2 linked regions of the Caenorhabditis elegans genome follow. The protein of the gene in region 1 purifies or fractionates together with the protein of each later gene. This does not show direct contact. Each region holds a gene or a part of one and is shown in the gene's direction. Other genes may lie near its edges.

Region 1 (3,709 bases):
TTACAAAAAATATCGATTTTGGCATTCAGCATGAGGAATATTATTGTGAAATCGAAAAAATAAAACTATTTCCAAGTTTTCTTCTCCAAAATTTGAGGTGTTTTATTTATTTTCTCCATTCGTTTCCCTAATCCAAATTTTTCCAGCTCCAAAAAATGTCAAAAGACGATCCGATCAACTCCATCTTCTTCGAGCACCAGGAAGCTGCTCTTTGTGCTCAACACGCGCTGAATATGCTCCTACAAGATGCTCTGTACAAGTGGCAAGATCTCCGAGACTTGGCCATTCAGATGGATAAAATGGAACAACAAATTCTGGGAAATGTAATGGAAAATACGAAAAAATTTTAATTGAAATTCTTGATTTTTCAGGCAAACCCAACTCCGGGACGAAGTGAGAACATGAACGAAAGCGGCTACTTTTCAATTCAAGTTTTGGAGAAAGCACTTGAAACATTTAGCCTCAAGCTCACAAATATCGAAAATCCTGCGATGGTGGACTATAAAAATAATCCCTTGTACGAGTTACCATATAATTTACAAAAAAATTTCATAATTTCCAATTCAGAACCGCCCGTGCTTACATATGCAACCTCAGAGAGCACTGGTTTGTGCTCCGAAAATTCGGAAATCAATGGTTCGAGCTGAATTCGGTGAACCGTGGGCCCAAATTGCTCTCTGACACTTATGTTAGCATGTTCTTGCATCAAGTGTCGTCGGAAGGTATAAATTCATGAATTTTGAAGCTAAATTTTGATAATTAGAGCCAGATTTTTATTTATCCCTAAACTACAAGCTGTAGCGTTGATTTTTTTTTCTGAAAAAAAGTTCCAAAAATCGAAAATTATTTTAATTTATCAATTTTCAGGTTATTCAATCTTCGTGGTGCAGGGAGTTTTGCCAAGATCCGATGCAGACGATCTCATCTCGCTATGCCCAGTTGTACCGCCAAAAGTTACACCGAAAAAGGAGCAGAAGCTGGAGAAAGTCATGACAAAATTCTTCAATACCGTCGGAAAACGACTTGGCGGTGGAAGCGGTGCTCCTCCGGATTCTCAAGAAGAAAAAGATTTGGCGATAGCTTTTGCAATGTCTATGGAAACAAAGGATGGCTCTGAAGTGTCTCGAAGTTCCGCTGAAATCGATGAAGAAAATCTCAGAAAGGCGATTGAGCTGAGCCAGGCTCCAGGACCATCAGAACCGGCTGAGATACCGCTATTGACTCGTTCTCGATCTTCGACGCCGCCAGGAGCTTCAGAACCTTTTTCAAATGCCGAACAACAGCGCAGAGATCGACAAAAGTTTTTGGAGCGATTCGAAAAGAAGAAAGAAGAGAGGAACGATGAAAAATAACGATTTAATCGTAAATTTATTATTTGAATTCTATTATGTGAATATATTCTCGGCTTTTCCTGTATAATTCGATTATTCATTTCTCCCGATACTTGTATCCCCAAATACTTGGTGCTTATGTATGAACCGCTTTCAGACTATGTGATATATTATTTAGAATTAGATGAAATCTCCTTTTTTTCTGAATTTTGTTGCCCTTTTCAAAGTTATTCTGGCATTCCATGAGTATTACTACCTTCAATTTTAGAGTTTTTGGAAAAAATAATCATTTTTTTTAGATTGAAAATGTTCGAGGAATTGGATGCAGAGGACGGCGGAGAAGAACAGGAAATGCCAATGAATGGTGATTTTTGAAAATTCAAGAAATTTTTCGAATTCGAGCTTAAGCTAGTGCTCCACGAGGAGTAGGATTTCCCAGTTTTTTTACTCAAAAGAAGAAAATGGCAATATCTTAAGCTATTTTAATACAAAATTTGATAAAAATTGAATTTTTTTGTTAATTTTCTGATCATTTTTTCCCGATTTTCTCTGAAAAAAAAAACTTTAAAAAATTATTTGATGGCACCCTTGAGCCGAAATAATAAAAATATTTTACAAAATCTAATAGTTCCAGAATTCGGCGGCGGCGGTGAGGACATTGACGATATTCTCGGCGATGCTCCGGATCTTCCAGACGACGAATACTCGAATAGTGTTCCACAAGGAGCCGCTGATGGATCCATTGAAAACGACGAAAGACGAATGAGAAATGATGGAGCCGGCTCAACGAACGAGGATGACGAAGAGCCGATCGAGCCAACTTATCTGGGCGACGCAATCGATTCGCTTATGATGCATTGGTGTCAGCTGCTGACGAATGTATCGGTTAAAGCGCCCGTTCCACCACCATCAACACTTAATCATGTTAAGGAAGTCGCAGAAGTCTGCAGTAAACATGTACGTGGTGGGATTCTGGAAAAAATCTGAAAAATTCGAAGCTTTTTTACCTAAAAAAAACCAATTTATCAAAGTTTTATTGGTAATTCTCTAAACATTTTTTTCCATTTTTGATTTTTGAAATAAAAAATAAAAATACTTGAATTTTCTATTTACTTTTCGAGTCTACCATTCAAAATGTTAGAGAAATTTGGAGGATTCTCATTCAAAAATTTGAAATTTGGAGCTCATTTTAGTAATTTTCAAAAAAAAATTCCAATTTCCAATTTTCAAAAAAAAAACTTAAATCCTTAATTGTTTCAGTTCCGCGATGCCTCTGTCGATGTGAATAACGAGTTCACGCGTCTCGGTGTTCAATGGGAAATGGAACAACCATATTCACAATATGCGATTGAAGAGGAGAACCTGGATGAAGCTATCGAACGGCAGGAGACTATCATCGCAGCCGCCAGAGAAATGTTGAACTCTCGGATTCAGATCTACAATGAGGCACATCCAAATGCTGGGAAACATTTTACCACTTAATTTATTTTTTACCTTGCTATTTTTGTATATTTTTGCTACTTTTTTCTCGAATCTAAATCTAAATGTATAACTCAACAAGTTTATAACCAACAATATAATAATATAACCGGAAAATTAGCGAATTTTCTTTTCGATCTTGATGTTGTTCAGATCAAACTCGACATGGAATTTCTTGCCGTTGATGGCAAAGTCGGTAGAGCCACTGCCAAAAACTCTTTGGATGAAATTTGGTTGGAGAACTTTAACGACAAGAAGAAAATCCTGTACGCAACATGTTGTGATGTTAAGCGATTTGAAGTTGGCAGAGATTTGGAGAAGCTGAAAATTGGTAAAATAAGTAGGTAAATTGCTGTTCCGAGCACAGATTACCTGAATGATACGGTTTGCATCATGCACGGAAACATTTTTCATGTGGATCTGAATATCACTAAAGTGTGTGAGATGCATGAAAACTGGGCAAAGACAGCTTTTCCAGATGAAATGAATGGATTTTGCCTTCTTCCAGTGATTCGACTCGACGACTTTTCCAATATGGTCGAAGCAAATGTGATCGTCGATCTTCAGATCTTGAATATTATCACTTCCAAAGTATTGAAGAATCATTGGGATCTCCTCATGGATGAATCCAGTGATTGTGAGCTTTCCAACGTCCACTTTTTTCACGGATTTCAACATAATTCGGATGATCTCTGAAGTTTTCTTTCGATCGACTCCCTCGAAATCCGGGCCCAAAACAACTTCGAAAGATTCCAAATGAAGTTTCGGATTATTGATAATCATCTTGAAGTCGGTAGAAGCCAGCTTCAAATAATGTCCGTTTTTGATTGTCTTTTCCGAAAAGTTATAGGCCTTCAAGGTGCATCCGACGTTGCTTCGGCGGTAGAAAATGCACAATT
Region 2 (5,492 bases), on another chromosome or scaffold:
AAAATCCAAACTTTGCAATGAAAATGTTCCTCCTCCAGATGAAGTCACACAATTGTAAGTTTCCGTTTTTATTTTATTTGTATTCCTATTTGCTTTTTCAGCCCTGGATCATCGGAATATGCGTCTCTCCAAGAACTCGAACAACTTGCCCAGCTAGCTCCTCCACCTATGAATATTGATTGATGTCAATAAAATTATTTTTTCAACTTTTTTCCTCCGTTTTTTATTCCAAAATTTTGCAAAATTACATGTGCTTTGCCATCAAGAGTGAAGCTTCTCATATATATATATATATATAAAATGTCAAAATTCTTCAAAGGTTCTGCCAAAAGTAAACTGAATGGGTCTCGCCGCGACCAGTGGACAGCCTCGTGAAATCCTCTCGGAGAACATTTTTGCCGCGAATGTCGCGATGGGCTCTAGAACCGGTTCTCGAGAAGAACATTCTCTGCAATTTTTGAATGTTTGTTATTCCCTTTTTTTATTTTTGCTGCGTTTTGATTATTTTAATTTAATTCTTGAATTTTAGCTAACCAAAATGACTACAACAACAGCTTCAAATTTGCCATGGGTGGAGAAATATCGTCCAAGCAAGTTGGACGAACTTGTCGCACACGAGCAGATTGTAAAAACTTGTGAGTTATTTCCAATTTTCAAATTTTATTTTAACTTCGAGACATTTTAGTGACGAAATTTATTGAAAACCGCACATTGCCTCATCTTCTTTTCTACGGACCACCTGGAACTGGAAAAACGACGACGGTGTTAGCAGCAGCGCGACAAATGTATTCCCCGACGAAAATGGCGTCAATGGTATTGGAATTGAACGCTTCAGATGAACGTGGAATTGATGTTGTGAGGTAAATAGATAAACTATTGATCAGGCGTTTTTAAATTTATAGCAATTTTCAGAAACACCATCGTAAACTTCGCACAAACAAAAGGACTTCAAGCATTTTCGACATCTTCCAACACAGGCACTGTGCCGTTTAAGCTTGTGATTCTTGACGAGGCTGATGCTATGACAAAGGATGCTCAGAATGCATTGAGAAGGTTAGATAAAACTGATTATGAACAAAATATAATCATCCACAATGTAAATATTTATTTCAGAGTGATTGAAAAGTACACGGACAACGTTCGTTTCTGCATCATCTGCAACTACTTGGCATCAATCGTTCCAGCTATTCAATCCCGTTGTACTCGTTTCCGATTCGCTCCCTTAGATCAAAAACTGATTGTTCCCCGGTTGGAATACATTGTGGAGACGGAACAACTGAAAATGACTCCAGATGGAAAAGATGCACTTTTGATTGTTTCAAAAGGTGACATGAGAACTGTCATCAACACACTTCAAAGTACTGCAATGAGTTTCGATACAGTTTCAGAAAATACAGTTTACCAGTGTATTGGACAGCCGACACCGAAAGAAATGAAAGAAGTTGTGAAGACTCTACTGAATGATCCATCGAAAAAATGTATGAATACAATTCAAACGAAATTGTTCGAGAACGGATATGCCCTTCAAGATGTCATCACTCATCTCCACGATTTTGTATTCACTTTGGACATCCCAGATGAAGCAATGTCAGCTATTATCACTGGATTAGGAGAAGTTGAGGAGAATTTGTCAACTGGATGTTCTAATGAAACACAGCTTGCAGCTGTTGTTGCAGCTTTTTTCGAGGCAAAACGTTTGTGTGTGAAAGAGATGAAGAACTTGGAAATTGAAGACATGGAATTTTAAGAGTATTCTATTCTCCTTTGGCTGTCTCGGTGATTCCTATTTTTCACGAAATGAGTAAATTGTTTGATCTCTCAGTATATTTTTATATTTTTTAAGTGACCTCATTTATTATCCTCGATCTGTGAAAAAGTTGACTTTACACTTACATGTATGAATATCCAATAAACTGGTTGCAACTTGATTACTACATTTTAATTTTACTGTGGAGTAAGTTATCGCTCTCTCAATATCAGAATCAGAAACGGAACAATTATGAAATTCCAAAACTTCAGCACCAATGAATCCGAATCAACCCCCAAATTACCCGCCTGGCAACCCAAATCAACCTCCACCATTTCCACCTACACCATATTATCCAATGTATCAAGCTGGAATGCCGATGCCATACATTCCACAGTCTCCTCAATATCCTCAACCGGGGCCTCCAGGCGGTCCACCACCGTTTATGGGAATTCAAAGTGAGGCTTTAGCTGGAAATATCATGCAAAAATAATTCCTCTTGTGGAATTTCACCCAACAGCTGCAATTTTGATATTTGCATTTAAAATAATTGAAATAAAATGTGCAAATCGCGCCTGAAAAACATTTTTCAAGTTTTTCTTGATTATTATATTTATTTGAAGCTAAACCTTTGAAGATATAGATTATCCACATTTTTGCAAAGCTTTCCGTTAGATCGGATCACAGAAAACACTTACAAAGTCAGATTTACATTCTCCTAATCCCATAATATAAATAAGTCCAAATCTCCTTCCCCATAAAAAAAAAAGAACATTTTCTAATCCCCTGAAGCATATTCAGTAAAACAAGAACCAATGTGGAGTCAAGAAAATCGATACGGAATGCAAGCAGGACCATCCGGAATGCCTGGGATGCCTCCTTCAAGTCATCCATATGGATATCCACCGATGCATGGGATGCCACCTGGAATGCCACAAGGAATGCCTCCAATGATGGATCCGTAAGTTTCAGCAATTTTTCCATAATTTCCCAAACACGAAATTTTACTTTTTTACTCCAAAAATATAGTACCAGGTCTCCACAGACACGACAATTTTTGTAAATATTAAAAGTAGTGCGCCTTCAAAGAATACTGTAGTTTCAAACTAATTTCTGCCGAATTTTCCTCAATTTTTCAAAGTTCAAAATTTGAAATAAAAATATATTAGTTTATTTTTAAAAAAATTTGAACACTTTTTTTTACAATTCTTCGCACACATATTTCCTCATTTAACAAAAATGTGTCGTGCCAAGACCGAGTACCGTATTTTTTTTGCAAAAATCACAGAGTTTCGCTTCAGGGATTCTGGAATCTGGCAAAAAAAATTTATTTAGAAAACATTCATAACTGTTTATATTCAGAAACATGCCCGATTTCTCGTCTCCACCAATGCATCATCCGACAACTTCTCTTCTTGCTCAACATCTTTCTTCTGCTCCACTTCCACCAGCTCCGCCACAACAACAATCCCATCTCAGTCAACTTCTTCAACAACCAACAACGTATTCTACAGCCACTAATCCTCATGCTGCACCAACTCAAACAATTGCTCGGAGACCGGATAATGAAGCAAGAAATGCTCAATTGGTGAGTTATAAAACTTGAAATTTAATTCTGACAGCAAGAGCTTAATTTTATGATTTTTGAATTTAATAATTTTTCTGATCACGCCATAGTTTTGTTCAGAAATTTAAGAATCTAAATTCTGAATCGAAATATCTAAAATCGTTTAACAGCAGGAGCAAGAACTGGCTGCACGGCAACAACAACAGCAAGAGTACATGCTTCAACAACATCAGCAACAACAACAAAACAGAGCTGGACAACTTCAAGCCGAACAAGCCTTTGCGAATCCACCAACAGTTTCAATTCCACCACAAACTGGTCATCCACCACAACAAACATCTGCTTCTTCACAGCAAAGAGCCCAGGTTTGTGGAAATAATCATTTGATAAATACGAATTTGATTAAAAAAATATTGTATTTAATCTTCTGAAATTAGTTTGAGTCTATATTAAATTTTATTAAATTTATTTTGTTCCGTGGAAACTACTTCAAAGTCGAATTTTATCCCCCACAACATGCAATTTTCCACCAAAACACGCTTTGAATACAAATTATAGACCATTTTGTTCTGTAGTGTGCAAGTTATTGAATGAAGTCGAGCATTCACTCTGTGCACATTTATTTAGTGTTAGAATTTTATTATCTTATTTCAGGAGACGATGGCTCAGCAAACAGAACCACAATCACACATCCGTGAGTCGCCGCAAAAAGAAACTAATTTAGAAAAGTATTCAACGGGAGAATTGTGTTTATATGGAAGAGAGTTGGTTAATGATCTCAATGTCAAGTAAGTAATTAATCATAAGATATATCATTTGATACATTATTTGCAGAACATCATATTTATCAACGATACTCAAAAAAGTAATGGAACGGAAGCCATTGAATCAAGGAGAAAATCCGAATGATTTGGCTGATCAGTGTAAAAACGCTTTGCAGAGAATGAGTGACATTCGGTTAGTTGATATTGTACCTATTCCAGTCATAATTATCTTTTTTTTCAGACAAATAATTGAAAAACGCCGTGAACCCACATGGAAACGAATGACTGGTGAAGACTACATTGAATTGATGCTTGATGACTCAGAATTGAAAAAACCGATGGATGAAGAACGACAGAAAAGAAGAGCAGAGCTGGAGCAAAGTAATTTTCTCTCTTACTTTTCAAAGTTACAACAATTTGAATAATTTTCCAGGATTCGCGATTGTAATCTCTAAAACACCACCAGTAGAAGGACATATATGGTATCAGGGAAAATGGATTTCCGAAGAGCTTCACAAGAAATATATGCAGTTTGAGGCAAATAAGTGAGTACATAATTTTTTGTAATTTCAAATCCTCTCTAACTTCCAGAGAAATCGTTAAAAACTTGGCGGCTGAACTGAAAGCGTTGGCATGGAAAATCGATGTTACCAGTCCGGGACATTTGAAGAAAGTGGATCAGACGAAGATTTCTAAAAAGAAAACCGATGATCAAGTCTAGTAGACAATATATAATTATTTTTTTAATTCATTAATTTATCTTCTTAAAATGTCATGTAAAATTGATTGAAGTTGTGAAGTTTTTATTTTTACAAACAGGGCAAATTGAAAAAAATATGATTAAAAATTAAGGAGTTTATCGAAGGGAACGGAAAGAATATCTCTGGAGACGAACTGCATTTTTCAATGGAATTGCCAAAAGTCCCCAACATGCTGTGAAATGGCGGACCTGGAAAACATTTTCAGAAAAATGAATTTGGATAAACTTTTACAACTCACAAAAGCTTCAGTAATGGCCACATTTTTCTCTGATACCCAACGCATTGTGTCAACTAACTGGATACTTGCAGAGAACCGATTAGATACGAATAGGCGACCTAAAAATGTCAAAATTGTACATTTCCGAAAAATGATGATCCAGAAAATTTTACCAGCTTCATCCTTTGCCAAAGCTCCAGGACGTTCACAAATTGCCATTCGCTTTCTATCTACAATTCGAGATTCCCGTACAGAAACCAGTAGAACATAATTTCGACGGCCTAGAAATTACTAGTTTTATTTCTCGTCACAAGGGCTTGTTGTTGAGCCGCTGTTGATAAATATTTAAAATTATGTTCTGCATTATCTGGGCTGCTTGGTTAAATAATAAACTCTAAACATATGAAAGGGCCTACCTTCTACAACGAGAAGCTGA

What was found.
Region 2: the proteins of mdt-28 (region 1) and mdt-30 purify together in Caenorhabditis elegans (affinity purification with western blotting, with the first as the bait; one study listed by BioGRID). This does not show direct contact.

The regions. Positions count from the first base shown.
Region 1 is NC_003283.11:15,573,325-15,577,033, reverse strand, and holds mdt-28 (Coiled-coil domain-containing protein mdt-28), read left to right. Parts: upstream 1-1,628; 5' UTR 1,629-1,637; coding exon 1,638-1,695; intron 1,696-1,959; coding exon 1,960-2,288; intron 2,289-2,591; coding exon 2,592-2,813; 3' UTR 2,814-2,891; downstream 2,892-3,709. Other genes in the region: atx-3 (Ataxin-3 homolog), read left to right, coding at 156-323, 372-517, 568-722, 868-1,352; fbxa-94 (F-box domain-containing protein), read right to left, coding at 2,928-3,131, 3,183-3,709. UniProt on the Caenorhabditis elegans protein: Plays a role in normal growth and development.
Region 2 is NC_003281.10:8,024,570-8,030,061, reverse strand, and holds mdt-30 (Glutamine/asparagine-rich protein mdt-30), read left to right. Parts: upstream 1-2,019; 5' UTR 2,020-2,024; coding exon 2,025-2,205; intron 2,206-2,548; coding exon 2,549-2,708; intron 2,709-3,109; coding exon 3,110-3,335; intron 3,336-3,484; coding exon 3,485-3,679; intron 3,680-3,968; coding exon 3,969-4,102; intron 4,103-4,148; coding exon 4,149-4,271; intron 4,272-4,319; coding exon 4,320-4,459; intron 4,460-4,511; coding exon 4,512-4,623; intron 4,624-4,669; coding exon 4,670-4,799; 3' UTR 4,800-4,877; downstream 4,878-5,492. Other genes in the region: F44B9.9 (uncharacterized protein), read left to right, coding at 1-54, 102-157; F44B9.8 (putative replication factor C subunit 5), read left to right, coding at 413-463, 530-635, 686-860, 913-1,053, 1,114-1,747; F44B9.2 (uncharacterized protein), read right to left, coding at 4,935-5,027, 5,078-5,175, 5,230-5,337, 5,473-5,492.